Linked DNA regions of Arabidopsis thaliana. The protein of the gene in region 2 interacts with the protein of the main gene of each other region in a pairwise test. Each region holds a gene or a part of one and is shown on either strand. Other genes may lie near its edges.

Region 1 (7,751 bases), on a different chromosome or scaffold from region 2:
CCTTAGTTGCTTTGAACATGTGATGATTTACTTTGATTCCATAATTAGAAAGTCACTAGCTATATGTCACATAATCGATCAATATATAAAATAATTTAAGACTTTATCTAACGTGACTCATCAAATCAATGCCGTCGTATTACTGGAAAACATATTTTATGTCAATTATTTCACAAAGGATGTTGTTATTGTGTACTTTTTATATCTTTAATTGTTAAGTTATTGTATATGTTCTTTTCAAATATGTTTGATTTTTATTTTTATTTTGTATTTATGATTACAGCTATTTTCTTGACAAAATTGATATATGCAAACGTCAACTATATATATTGTTAAAAACGTCAACTTATATATTGTGTACTTAAGAAGGCCATAGTCTATGACTTATTGCAGATTGCAGTTTTTTATTATATAAGAGATGACCCCTTTTTTTAAATAAAAAAAAAAGAGTTAAGAGAAATCATAAATGGAGTTTATGACAAGGAGTATACAATTTTTTTTATTTCCATCGTAACAGATTAGTAGAGCTCTTTCTGCATGACCCTTTTTAGGCTTTTTGCGCCTAATCTCGCTAACCAATTTTATAACAATACTTATCGTTTTTTATCCATGTGAACAAAAAAAAAATTATAGTGTTTCTCCAAGTCATATTCTGATTTTCTGACGTCTATTATAGTACAATGACGTAGATTAATTTCCGTAGAAATTATGGAATAATTGTTTGACAAAAATAAATAAATTGTGGAATAATTTAACTTAGAATTTTATTAAGAAAAATGTAACAGAAAAAAATAAACATTTAAAAAGTGTGTCCTCGAAATGAATTCTACCAGAAAACAATTAATTTTTTAACACGTACATTGTGACGTCATGCGTATGTATTGAGTATAGCAAGTTACAGTAATTATGTCCAGAGTTAATTAAATATTTTCCGTAAAAAAAAAAAGGCTGGATTCTTGTAGTCGTTTGCTTTTACTAATCGAGCCTTGTTTTAAAGCTTGTTTAGGAAAGTGATTAAGGACCGCTCCTTAATTATCTGCTTTGTCATCTATAATTAGTGAGCTTTTCGAACCACTCGTAGATCACGCATGTGCAAATACCACCAAACAAATAAAAATTTATGTCTCGGTTAAATGTATTTTTATTCTAATCACAAATGTCATTGTTATGATTTAAGATATTGCGTTTGCTTTGAAGTCTAGCCACAATTTATTAATAAATACAAACCCCTCGTGTATTTAAAGCCAAAACCCTTTTTGTGTGTGTTGTTGTTGTTAAATTTATATTTGGAAACATTTTTGTTTGTATTTATGCTTCCTCCATTTCAAATTATAAATCGTGTAAGGATTATTCTTCAGTTTAAAATTTTAGCTAGACATGAAGTCTAGAAAAGAATATTAAGATTATATCTAATTTTTATAGCTAGGTATAACGGAAATTTATATAATATAACCAATAACACATTACAATTCTATAATTATAAAACATGATCCGCTTAAAACCCGACACAAGTTCTATATTTGATTAGTAAATTCACAAAAACTGTATGTACTGTCTTTTTTTATTTGGCGACAATATGTGACTACGAACCTCCACGTTTCTGTATTGAATGTCTTTTTATTCAAATTTATAACTCTTAACCTTAGTTAGATGATTTTTTTTTTAAAGAATGCAATTATATATTCCTTCTTCTGAGTTACACCTTAATTAGAGGTTTTTTTGAGTAATGACCAAATAGATGGAAAATTAATATTTGGGCATTTGGCCCATGGGCCAATCAATACACTAGTTTGCTATTGGAATTTTACATTCCACAAATCTGAGTATCTAAATTTTTAATGGAACTTGTAAATACAAAATAAATACAATTGTTGTGTGTTTTTAATTATGATGCATGTATGTCATGTTATTCGACTAATAGAGAACGAACCAAGTGAAGGTCATGTAGATGTTTGTAAAAAAATCCGTTCATTCGACCATTTTCCGGGTGTCGTTTACCTCTCACATCAACAAAATCAACAAGGTCTAAGGAAAGACAAATATGAGTTTCTCCTCCCGAAGATTTCCCACACTCAAATAATGATATTATCAGTATGAGTGCATGACTCGACGGAAGAAGACTAGTTTATTAGAGGAGAAAAAAACAGAGATAATTAATTTTTGGGCTTTCGTCAAGACGATCCACTTTGTTATTTGGTAAATATCAGAAAATAGACATATCTCAAAGGATGGTCAAAGCTTCTGAAAAGCAGTAATGGTCATGGAGGATACAGAAAAAGGAAGGAGATAGAATTATATTGTATGATCAGCGAACCACATATATTCAGTAACAATGTGGCTAATGTGTACTAGAGATTGTGTTAACGCGCACTCTAAATCAAAATAAGAACATCTCGAATAGTTTAAAACCCTTTTTGAGTATTCTCATCCTCTTTTGAACTAAATGGTTATTTTTGGTACTTTCAATTCTTTATTTCGTTATTTTAATGTTTTGAAAACTCTTTATTAGAGATGTTCTTAAACTTTTACATGATTCATGTCAGAAATTAAATTTAAACTATTAGGTCGGATTTTCCTAGGTACAGTTAAAAAATCGAGTATTCCGTGTTTTACTCTTATCATTCATACCCTAATTGCAAACGCATTTAGTCGACCCACAATAAACATGTGTTTGAAACTTGTACGGTATAAACTGTTTCTCTACAATCTCTTGTCAAGATGGTCAAACAAGCAAGCCCACGTTACACACCTAAGTTCAGCTAACCCAACGCTCCTTTTTCAAATACAGTATATACAGTAAGTCTCTCAATTTGTGGTGTGTTACTATATATTCGTAAACAGAAAAGATTTGTATGTAGGTTTATGATTACATAACGTATGCTTATATTAAAAATGCATGAGATAGTTAAATATATTCTTTTGGATAGCTCAAACAATTAAACTTACATGTATAGCTAGCCACAACTAAACAATATATCAATATGCAATTTCAATCCACTAAATTTATACCAATACAAAGATAACCAAACAGCAACAAAATAAAGTTACGAAATCTATTCGTCAAATTTTCTATGCATGAAAGATTACAAATCTACATCTAAATCTATGAGTCTCCCTCTTAACCCAAAAGAATTGAAATTCAAATACATATAAGATTTGCCACGGGACAAAAATTAACGACTTATTTTTATTGCGTCAGCATTTCATCATCACATAAACCCAAACCCACCAACTTGCCCCGAATACCCAAACGAGTCAACACCATAACCCTTTTGAGCTAACTCGCCCGAGTTATTAAACCCGTGACTGCTCTCGACTTCCTCCTCCGTCTTCAGGTAGCCACAGTTGTACTCGAGATTAGGAACAACATGACTCATTCCGAGTTCCGGTACCGAGTTATTATGCTCAACATTACCGGCAAAACTAGCCCAATCGAAGTTAGAAGTATCCGCAAGACCGTGGAACCCGGTTTTCTGTTCGGTTAAGTCCGGTCTGAGCGACGAGATGCGGTTTGGGTTAGAAAACTGGAAATTTCTGTTGTCGATCTCTTGATGAAACGAATCAAGAACGTCTTCAAAGTGAGAAGAAGACGACGTCGTGGACGAAGTACCGTTGTTGCTGAATTCTCTAGCATTCGCGATTCCATTATCGTAAACTTGTTTTTGTGCACTTGATTGCTTCTTGTATATTCGACATAGAACCCAATCATCCAACTAAAGAAAATTAACAAGAATATTAATTATAGGTCATTCAAAACACTACAAGAAGAAAATATAAGATATAGTATTTATTAATGTTTAGATTTTATTTGTTACCTTAGTGCTTCCGTTTCTACGAGAAGGTTCAATGAGACGATACTCATGCATGATCCAATTGGTTTTAGTACCTTTAGGAGCTTTTCCGATGTAAAACACCAAAGCTTTTTTAATACCAACTCTTTGTCCTTCCGTCGAGATTATTTTATCCGTACCCGTAGCTTTCCAATAACCCGATCCGGCAACCCGGTTAGGTCTTGACCCGTTTGGATATTTTCTATCCCTAGGACTAAAAAAATACCATTCTTTTTCTCCAAATAATGCTTTATCTATAAATCACAAAAGAAGAAAAACCAAGAAAATTATGAATCTCTGTTAAGAAAAATAAACATTTTTTGAGAAGGGTTTCAATTAGTATATACTTACTTGGTAAAACCCATGGATCGAATTTGTAAAGATCTATTTCGGCGATGAGCTGAAGAGAGAAATCGTAACCAGCTGCTTTTCTACAGAGATATTGAACCATAAGCTCTTCATCGGTCGGGTAAAATCGGAAACCCGGTGGTAAACTCAATTGCGTTAACGGGTCAGTTTCTTGGATACCCATATTTTTTTCTTTCTTTCTTATTTTTGACAATAATGTTTGGGTCTCGTGCTACTTATATATGGACGCAGTGTATAGGTGAATCCACCGCCGCTGATTAACGTGTGTACTGAATATGGGACCCATTTTTGTGTTTATCTATAAACACTTTTGAATTCTGACACGTGTGTCAGTTAGATCGTCGTGATTTATGCAATCCCTTGAGTTCATTGAACCTACATGAGTAGATTTAGCTCTTCCTCGTACTATTTTTTTTAAATGGTTTTTTTTATTAACATTTGTTTATTCATCTATTTATCAATAATGTTCCGCTAAATTTAAAAGTATTTTCCAATCAAAATAAGATTCAAATGAATGTTTGGAAATTTGCTGCTTAGACATTTGGAGTTCACATATAATATTTAATTTAATCGAGATTTTTTTCCTAGGATTGTCTATTTAATTATTTAAGTAATGTAAAACAAATTAAAAAAATGATTTTCGATTTTCCTTTTAGGATTTTTTTTTTTTTTTTAAGGATATTTTTTATTTACAAAGTTTATTGTCAATATAGTAACCAGACGACATCTAAACCACAAAACATTATTGACTTTATCTTGGTCGATTTAATCAACATTGAACCGTCCATGTACTTTTTGGTGGTCTATATATTCGTGTAGGGGACTGAATTTCAGAATAAAGGAACAATTATTTGGCCAAATTTGTACCCAAAAAAAAAAAGATTTTTTGGCGAAATGATTGAACAGTAACCATGAAATATGTGAACTGGTAAAGGAAGAGATATTTTATTTCACGTGTTTTTTGTTGACGGGTTTTCTGAAATGTATATGTGCCAAATGTTGTAATAAGAAGGACACGCGTAATGTTGTGGTAGGGTAAGGGAAAGAGCTTCGAAAAAAGCGAAGTTGAAAGGACAAAGGAACTGTTCAATGTATCTTAGGTTACAACATGGAAAGCGTTTTCCATACGGACAAAACTACATCATGACGACACGTGTCCACGTGTCTATCGTAGAAGTTAGGCGCAATTTGTCATTTGTCAAAAAGACGTTATAACGATGGGAGAAGAGAAAAAACACGAGTTGATGTTGACTAAAGATTTTTTCAATTTATTTTTGTTTTCAGAAACATTAACAAACACAACTCGTAGTAGCTGCTTCAAAGCTTCATAGTATCTTTTTTAAAAAAAATATAGGGTAAAAAACTTCATAGTTTCTTTTTTTTTTTTGTGAAAAAAAAACTTCATAGTTTCATCATTTAGTTCCATGGTTTTTAAAAGATAGAACCATATATAATGGTCGCAATTTTTGTTTAATTTAGAAATTGGGTGTTATAGTATAAAAATCCATATTGTTCGCTCGGAATATGCTGTTTTGAGTTGGAAAGTGAAGTATATAATTGACTAATTGAGCATGTTTAGAACACCTAAATTCCACTTATAACCATTAGATCACATAGATACCACGATTTGGATAAAATCCTTGTTGGATAATGTATAAATTAATATTTTTATCTACATTTTTAGTGTCGGTTTCACCAATATGTCTAACTAATTTAAGGACTTAGCAAAATTATTTGTTGAGTTTTATGTAAATCCACCATAGATAAAACATCTTAACCGAAAAATAAGTAATCCACATCAAGTTTGCATATAATATAATCGAAATTGAAATTAGCTATAGACCCTATACATATATTCAGATTTTGTTTTATAAGATCACGTATTGATGTAATTTTTTTTGTCTGTATTTATCCATTGATTAGTTTTCATGCAGTTGTGGTATTTCATAAATGAAAAAAATTTACGAATGAATTTTTCTTGAAATTTATATTATAATATAATCTAACCCTAGAACATTTTACTGAAATCATTAAATTTTTTATGAAAGTTTAAGCATACATATATATGACATTTTTTTTTTTGATGAAGTGAAGTGAGGAAGAGGACATCATTTCAAAAGATTAGACGGAGTCACAGAGACGAGATATCAAATATATCACTATATTATGATCGTTATCTAATTCTATAGTGGAACTTAAAGATTTAGGGTTTCTTTCACTCAATAGTTTTCGTGCTAACAGCCATTTGATGCTACTTTTCTATATTTTGTTTTACCTCTATCTCTCATTTTAAATCAATGATTTATATTTTATCATTTAATCAAATGACAACGAATGGGTAGTCAAAGATTGGTTTTTAATTTGCCTTATCTATAACATTTTCGCTATCCTTTGTTTTGTTTTTCTCCAGTTAATAATTTCTTGGAATTTGAACAAAGTACTTTTGTTTTTACACGTGTGTGTATCCGAAAGTTTAGGTTATCTTACTCGATGACATATATTTGTTAAATGTATTCGTATTTTTTTTTCTTTTATTATTTAAAACTGATCCAGAATTTTTTTCCGTAACATTTAAAATTATCAGCTGAAATTTAAATCCACCATGGTACAAAAAAGTTTACAGAATCTGATTTAGTTAATAAACAAATTAAGCAGAGTTTTGAAAGATAACTTACTTTGGATTGGCTTGACTACTCTCTAGCATTAGTTAGAAAATATTTTAAACTCGAAACAAATAATATAGTGGTCCTTCGAAAAAAAATCTCGTCTCAAAACACTAAAGTACGTTTCTATCAAAGAACTAATATGACTGGTGACTACGTTTATCAGTAAGTAGATGCTAAAAAATTTTAGTTTATTTTTAAATAATAGAAAGTTAAACATTACTTGATAATAATAGTTGAAGACTATTCTCGGAACTTAAAACAAAGAAAAAAGTGAGTGGGATATTCTGGTAATCACTTCCTTAGGAAATGTATCACCAGCTTCTATTTAAAGGTGTGAATGTGAACTTTAAAAAAATATCAAATTCGGTGGAACTGTTCGATTTGATTTGTGTTGAGTTGGTTTTTTTGACTCCCCATACTGCTTGAAGAACAATGTTAAATATGATGGGTTTTTTTTTAAGCCCAAACCCACTTTAGACACATTAAATTTTCACAAGTGAGACTAGATATCGACGCAAAAATACGTTTGCCAACCCCCACAATACAAGCTCTTTTTCTTTTTAAGCCCACGAAACAAGCTCTTGACATTAACACTCATCATTTACTATTTTACTCGTTGAGAATATATGGATATCATAATGTATTTGTTTAGGGTCATCTCAAACTATGTTTAGATTTTGTTTAAAAGTTGTATTGGACATATGTTTAATGTGGACAGTGTTTTTATTTATTTAATATAGTTATAAGTTATAACCATTAATTATTTATTTATGTGTATATTTAAACTTTATTATATAAAATATAGGTATTTCAATAGGAACCATGTTTGACTATTCAAATTACCCATGCACCTGTTAAAAAGGTCTATGTATTTCTATGCACACAT
Region 2 (7,271 bases):
CTTTGGAATCTCCTCGGTACCCAATCTCTCTTTTGTCTCTGTGTTTCATGTCATGTCTCAACAACAATCATCAATCAAGCATCTCTTATATTCAGGGGTTTTGGTGCTCATGATTCTGATTCCTTTGGTTTCTACGGAAAGAGCAACCACTAAGTTTGTCTTTACCAATTTCAACACTGATAATGGCCTTGGCATCACCAGCTACGCTTACATATTCGTTTTGGGACTCCTCATGAGCCAGTACACCATTACAGGGTATGATGCCTCTGCCCACATGGTGAGTGTAATGGATTCTGTTTTTAATGATTGATTAGCTTTTCTTGAGGATTGAACAAAAAGTAAATTTGCAGACAGAAGAGACAGTCGACGCAGACAAGAACGGGCCCAGAGGAATAATCAGTGCAATTGGTATATCAATTCTGTTTGGATGGGGTTATATATTGGGCATAAGCTATGCCGTCACAGACATACCTTCTCTTCTGAGTGAGACCAACAACTCTGGTGGGTATGCCATTGCTGAGATCTTCTACTTAGCTTTCAAGAATAGGTTTGGGAGCGGTACTGGTGGAATCGTGTGCTTAGGCGTTGTTGCGGTTGCTGTGTTTTTCTGTGGCATGAGCTCTGTCACCAGCAATTCCAGGTATATATATACATTCATGTTTGGTTAAAACATATTCTGTCTGCATTTAGGACTTGATCATATGTGTGTTTGGTTAATCAGGATGGCGTATGCGTTTTCGAGAGATGGAGCGATGCCAATGTCGCCGTTATGGCACAAAGTGAACAGCAGAGAGGTCCCCATTAATGCGGTTTGGCTCTCTGCTCTCATATCATTTTGTATGGCCCTCACCGTAAGTCCCCTTCTCTCTTTCTGTGTATCTCTCTTTTGTGTGTTGGGATTGCTGATTGATGAGATGAAACTGGCAGTCACTGGGGAGCATAGTGGCGTTCCAAGCAATGGTGTCGATCGCAACGATTGGACTGTACATAGCATACGCAATCCCGATTATATTGAGAGTGACGCTTGCGCGCAACACCTTCGTACCTGGACCATTCAGCCTGGGAAAATACGGAATGGTAGTCGGGTGGGTGGCAGTCCTGTGGGTTGTAACCATATCAGTCCTCTTCTCCTTACCCGTGGCATATCCCATAACAGCAGAGACACTCAACTACACTCCGGTGGCAGTTGCTGGTTTGGTGGCCATAACCCTCTCATATTGGCTTTTCAGTGCCCGCCACTGGTTTACGGGTCCCATCTCCAACATTCTTAGCTGAAACAACGTTTCAGGGGTTGATTTATAGTAAAGCCATTGTTAGCTAGCTGATATTTACCCTTTTATACATTCAACAAGCAACAACACATCTGTCACATTTTTATTTCATCGCCACAACTTTAAACTTTAAAGCGAATGGAATAATAATCAACACAAAGTGTTGGCATGGGCCTCGACGAAGCCCATTTAAGGAAACTACGTGACGAGTTAAAAAAAAAAAAGTAATCGCTAGAAGGAGGGGTCGAACCTCCGACCTTGTGGTTAACAGCCACACGCTCTAACCAACTGAGCTATTCCAGCATTTTGATTATCTGAATTAGCTAAATATTTTAGAATTCGTTAGGAATACTGCCAAAACGGACCTCAATCCTCAAAAGGATATGGTACACATTGTTTACGAAACTAGAGCATATTCTTATTCGCAAATAGAAATGTTAAATGATTAACTGAGTCTTATTCATATTGTATTATAATGTGTTAACTGTTAGTTGAGCATATGTTCAGAAACACCTTGTAATACTGTATTGATCGCTTAGTACAACTTTATTCAAGTTGAAATGTGGGTGTTATCATGGGCGGATCTATAGAAAACGAAAACTATTTAGCGGAGCTACAACTAGTTACTAAAAGATTGGACGAATTTGCAACTCACATTACTACATATAGGATATTTTTGATAAACTTTAGACACAGACAGTCTTTACAATAACAAAATTAATACAAGTGTAGTTTGTTACCAAATGAGGTGCTATGATATTTTCTTGTAGAATTTCGACACAATAAATAGTGTTACCTACCTTTTAACGTCAATAGCAATAATGCAAAGTGTGGAAACCAGAACAAAGTCCATAGTGTAAAGCTTCAAGATTGTCTAGAATGCAAAATTAAATAGTAGTAGGCTTTGTCAAATATACTACAAAAAGATTTACCAGCCAAGGAGGAATACATGAAGCTTAATTTGATTCTTTTCATACTAAGAATTTACAGAGTGGAAATCTGAAAAACAAAAGGACCTCTCTTCCGATCTGAGATTCCTCAAAAACATAGCTAAATATAGAAGGTTATATATATAGATATATAAGAAGAATCAATCTTCTGTAGTAAGAAATAAGAATCTTCTCCTAAAAAGGAAAGAGGAGAAGGAAGATAAATAAAAAAGCATCCTCCCTCCATCTTCTTCTCTCTTGCTTTCTTCTTTCTTCTTTCTTCACATAAAAATCAATGAGATGATGCAGTAGAGGTAGAGCGAAGAGGGAAGGCTGAGATCGACGCATCACTGCCATGTCCCTGATGATGATGAGGTAGCAATGGAGATCTACAGAGCGGGCAATTGAAGTTGAGATGTTGAAGCCAGCCTTCCAAACACTGCTTATGGAAGACGTGTCTGCAATCTAGCTTCCTCACTTCTTCTCCGGTCTTGAGTTTAGACAGACACACGATGCAGTCAGAGGCTGCGTTGTCGGAGTAGCGGTACGAGAAGAGGCGATTTAGGTTGAGCTGGTCGGCGAGGACGCTGAGGTTTGAAGTAACAACAACAACGGGGGCAGAAGAAGGGAAGAGGAGAAGAGACCGGACGTGTCTGAAGAAAGTTGCGAGGAGAGCCAGTAGCATCAGTGGGATCGAATCTGATGACACGTCGGAGAGCTGACCTTGTAGTCCCATTGATATGGTTTTAGAGATTGTTTTTGTTACTTTGGTTCTTGTTGTTGTTCTTGCTGCATATACTACCTTGCATCTCATCTCTTTCTTCTTCTTTATATGGATGGAGAAGAAGAAGAAATGACACAGGCCACGTGTTGTGGGACCCATTATTTTGCTTTTGGTTAAGCCCTTTCACTTTCAGTCCTTTTCGTTTTTTCCCATCTTCATACTTTTCGCCCCGCTATTTGCATTTTATGATGAATATGACCCAAAACATTTCACTTTTCTTTATTCTCACCCACATTTTCGGTTTATTGGAAAGAGATACTAAAGTCAAAATTGAATGACTCTAAAATGTTGTTGGATGCTGATTTCATATCTCTATCTAAGCTCCTTTCTATCTCCAAAGACCAAACAAAATTTTACAGAGGCCTTCAATCATTGAGCTTTAGAACCTAAAGAAGAAAAACACTGAATCATCATAATGATCTTTCATGATCGCATCTATTCCTTTGTGTCGCGCTTCTTCTTGTGATAGATATTATTAGCAATTTAGCATGCCCAATGTTTAGTCCTAAGATCATGGCTCATATCATTCATTTTAATTACTATTAATATGTTTCACTTATTAATGCCCCACAAATATAACATGATAGTAAATAATTAAGTCTTTGAATGGATGTTGTGGTTAGTGCAGATTAATCCGTTAGCGGTTCAGTCCATACTAATTTTAGATCGAACAACAATCCGCTGCAAATTTAATTTAAAGACGGTTCGTAGTTAGTCCACAACAATTTTTATTTTTTATTTTTTGGAATCCGCACTATTACATAATATAATTTATAAATAGTAAATAAAACACGATTTGGTATATAGACATTTTTGTCTTCTTAAACCGCTATAACCATTCAAAGTCTAAGTTTTAGTTATTTTCTTGTCGATTACTCATATATATTGATCAGTTTTCAGAATTTCCCAACATGGAAAAAGTATCAATTGTCGACCTTTGTTATATTATTTACAAATCCCCCAGCTAGCTAGTTAAATAGTATGTTTCAATTATTTTACTCATTCATAGTTTCATTTAATTATATGATATACTTAAGTGTAGAACATTGGAGAAGCATTTTTGGAATATAAAAAGGAAGTGGGCGGTTTGTGATTAATTCTTAATTAACAACTGACAGGGAACCAACTAATTAAATTATCCATCCTTTGTGAGAGATTGTTTAATATATAAAGCAATTCATAATTTGTGAACTTGACCAAGATTTTAGCACGATCCTCGCTTCGCTTCTTGTCTCCCTTGTGACGCATATCTAATATAAACATAAATTCATTATGTATCATGTATGTATGATCTTAGTTCTATATTGACGCAAGAAAATTCAAGTATTTGTTCACTTCGTGCTACCTATGAATGTACATAAATTTTTTTTAAAAAAATATTTGTTACTAACGATCATATAAGATAGTATTAAGTTATTCAGAAAACATAATTAAAATAGAAATTGAAGGTGTAGGTGTGTGGTTTAGTCATCGATATAGCCAACCAGTGACAACCACCTCGACTCTCTTTGACCTAATTATTTGACCACTCCTTCCACTTTACATCATAAAATCTGAAACCACTTACCATCTCTCGTCACATAGCTAGCAGACGATCGTCTTCATTATGTGGTTGTGACTCTCATTCTAATGTAATCCTGGTAAAAATAGCATGCGAGTGTCTTATCGATCCTCGTTGTTTATATGATTAAATCATTTATTATAAAATAAACAAAACACAACTAATATTTTTTGCATTAAAAATTTAAAATATTTTAGGAGGAGTGATTGTTTCGACGAAAATATATTTTATATAGTATGAACATGAATGAGTAAAAGGTAACTCATTTTGGTGTGTGTGTCAAATTTTGATTTTAAGTTTTTTTTGTTTGTTTGTTAAGTGTATCAACGAATCTCTAGTTCTAGCTTTGATACCAACTGAAGTAGCGGAAGTTTTAATGGATAGAACTAGACATCCGTTGATTCCTCGGAATACCAGAAAACTAGAATTTTTTGGATCTGTTGATTCCTCAGAATAACAGAAACGAGAGAACGTAAGGAATTCGTTGATTCTCTTCGAATACCGAATCCTACATCTTTTTATAACCGTTGAAATCTTTCAAGATCTACCGAAAGCAAGGAATTAGAGAATACTCTTCTCTGAAAAGGTAAAAGCTTAATTTTATTAATCAATTAACTGAATACAATTTTAAGTTCAAAAGTCTTAATTATAATAAATCCAAAATTTTAGAAAATTCATAAAACAATAAATAAAAATTATCTAAATAATTAAATAAAAATATGAGGAAATAATAAAGACAATTTGAAATTATCCAAATATATACTGCATTAGGTAGCATGCGGCTTGCAAGACTATAGTATTTGTTTTAGAAACTATAGGTCTATTAGCTAGACAGAATTAAGAGCTATAGAAAAGTTGTTAAAATTGATAATGCGATGCTTTTTCACATAACTCAAGAAAACCAAATCAAGTTCCGATCCATCATTGTTTGTCGACCAAGGGATGATCAGTCGATAGGTCCACGTACGTTGTTGTTTAAATGAAAATAGTTAACATGGATGTAAATTTAATAAGTAAACAATGAAAATGACAAATGAAGTAGAGAAGATGGAGAAAACAGGACCAAGGGCTTGTAAAAGAATTGCCAAATAAACAACAACGTGGTCCTATCACCTTCTGCTTCTCCCTACGCACCAACCAGTCAACCATACTCAATAGGTTTCATTACAAGACAAATAACACACTCTCTTTTGTCTTTTCTCTTTTTTCGAATGGGAAACACTGACTAGCTTTGTTTGTATATTTAAATCGTTTCTAACAGAGAGAGCGTGGCGAAGTGTGAACACAAACACCTAGAAAGATCTGAGAGTCAATTCTTCTGGGTGACATATGCATGTGAACTGTATGAAGACGCGTTTTGGGGTTTATCGTTTAAAAATCATTAGATATGTGACTGACCAAAGTGTTAATCAAAGATCTGCACCAACACCTTTTACATATACTATATTCTAATACGTAGAGGCAGCGTAGAACACTCTAGAAGAAGTACTAGGTGAATTATGATCGATATGCCATTCATCTGAGAGCAGAGAATGGAACTTTACGCATGTTTAATTAAAACAACTTTCAAACTTGTCTTAAAATATGAAAATTACTAGTTCCTACTCTGATTAAGATAAGATTGGCATTATATTCATATTCTTGTACCTAATATATAATTGAAGCACTTGAACATATTTAGTCATATAGTCTTGAATTTTGTTGTTGTTTTTCCCTTTTTTTGTGGGGTCAAACTGAGTTGCTGTAAATTTGAACATACATATGAATATGCATTTAAATTGTGGCCAACAGTTTTAGAAAACTGTTATCAAATCAAAGATACTTTAAAAATACAAAAAAGTAGTGTAAGATACAAGAAAGAAAAAGTTGCCACTTTCTCATGTCGCATATATATAACGTTTCTCGGAACTTGCATTTTCTCTCTTCTTGTTTACACCTTCCTCGCCTGTTACGAGTAACACCAATATTTGGACTTATTGGATGGTTGCCTTAATAAAAAGGAAAAAAAAAAAGAAAAAGACCCAAGAACACCAAAGCTGTCGTGGGCTCTTATTGTTTATCTGAAACTAAGCCCTATTACTATTGGGCCCAAAAATCAATTACGTAAAAGAGTTTGCCTGTTATATAAGTTGTTTACTATTGTGGCCCAACAGATAAAAAAGGGAATATCCGGCCCATTCTCTTTCATCACACTCCTTGAAGAGGTGATAGGTCATGTAATTTGATTAATTAAGAAAAACGATTGAGTTAGACGAAGAGGCAATGGTAGGAGAAGGATAGTTTGGGTAGACGAAACGGTAGAGTTTTGGTTATTCTCAGATTCTTGTTGTTGAGAGACTGATGAACTACTAGAAAAAATTACCAGTATCTCCCTCAAGGTTAAAAGCGTCATTTACGGTAAATTGGGGAATAAAATGGTAAAGAGAAGGAGGCTTTTTGGTGGTGGGAGTAGGTGATGCCAAAGTAGACGACTACTAATAGTAGTAAACAAAACCTTTGGCTTTAACACTCTCCTCCAAATCCCAGATCTCTCTCTGTCTCTGTCCCGCGGAGTCCCCGAGAGATTGATCACCATCACTTTTGTACCTTCCTTGTACTACCTATGGCGTCTGCTAGCTTCGTTAAGCCTAACACCCTCTCTTCTCCATGGATCGGCCAACGCTCCTTTGCTCACACCTCTGCTTCTTCTTCTCCTCCTCCTCGAGTCTCCTTCGCGATCCGCGCCG

What was found. The genes of interacting proteins can lie anywhere in the genome.
Region 1: the proteins of RHA2B (region 2) and NAC019 interact in a two-hybrid assay, tested with the Arabidopsis thaliana proteins (one study listed by BioGRID).

The regions. Positions count from the first base shown.
Region 1 is NC_003070.9:19,694,083-19,701,833, forward strand, and holds NAC019 (NAC domain containing protein 19), read right to left. Parts: upstream 4,401-7,751; 5' UTR 4,363-4,400; coding exon 4,182-4,362; intron 4,085-4,181; coding exon 3,816-4,084; intron 3,714-3,815; coding exon 3,210-3,713; 3' UTR 2,841-3,209; downstream 1-2,840. UniProt on the Arabidopsis thaliana protein: Transcription factors that bind specifically to the 5'-CATGTG-3' motif.
Region 2 is NC_003071.7:96,368-103,638, reverse strand, and holds RHA2B (RING-H2 finger protein 2B), read right to left. Parts: upstream 3,156-7,271; 5' UTR 3,084-3,155; coding exon 2,493-3,083; 3' UTR 2,115-2,492; downstream 1-2,114. Other genes in the region: BAT1 (bidirectional amino acid transporter 1), read left to right, coding at 1-16, 96-277, 351-640, 722-851, 928-1,275; PDE345 (Aldolase superfamily protein), read left to right, coding at 7,148-7,271. UniProt on the Arabidopsis thaliana protein: E3 ubiquitin-protein ligase involved in the positive regulation of abscisic acid (ABA) signaling and responses to salt and osmotic stresses during seed germination and early seedling development.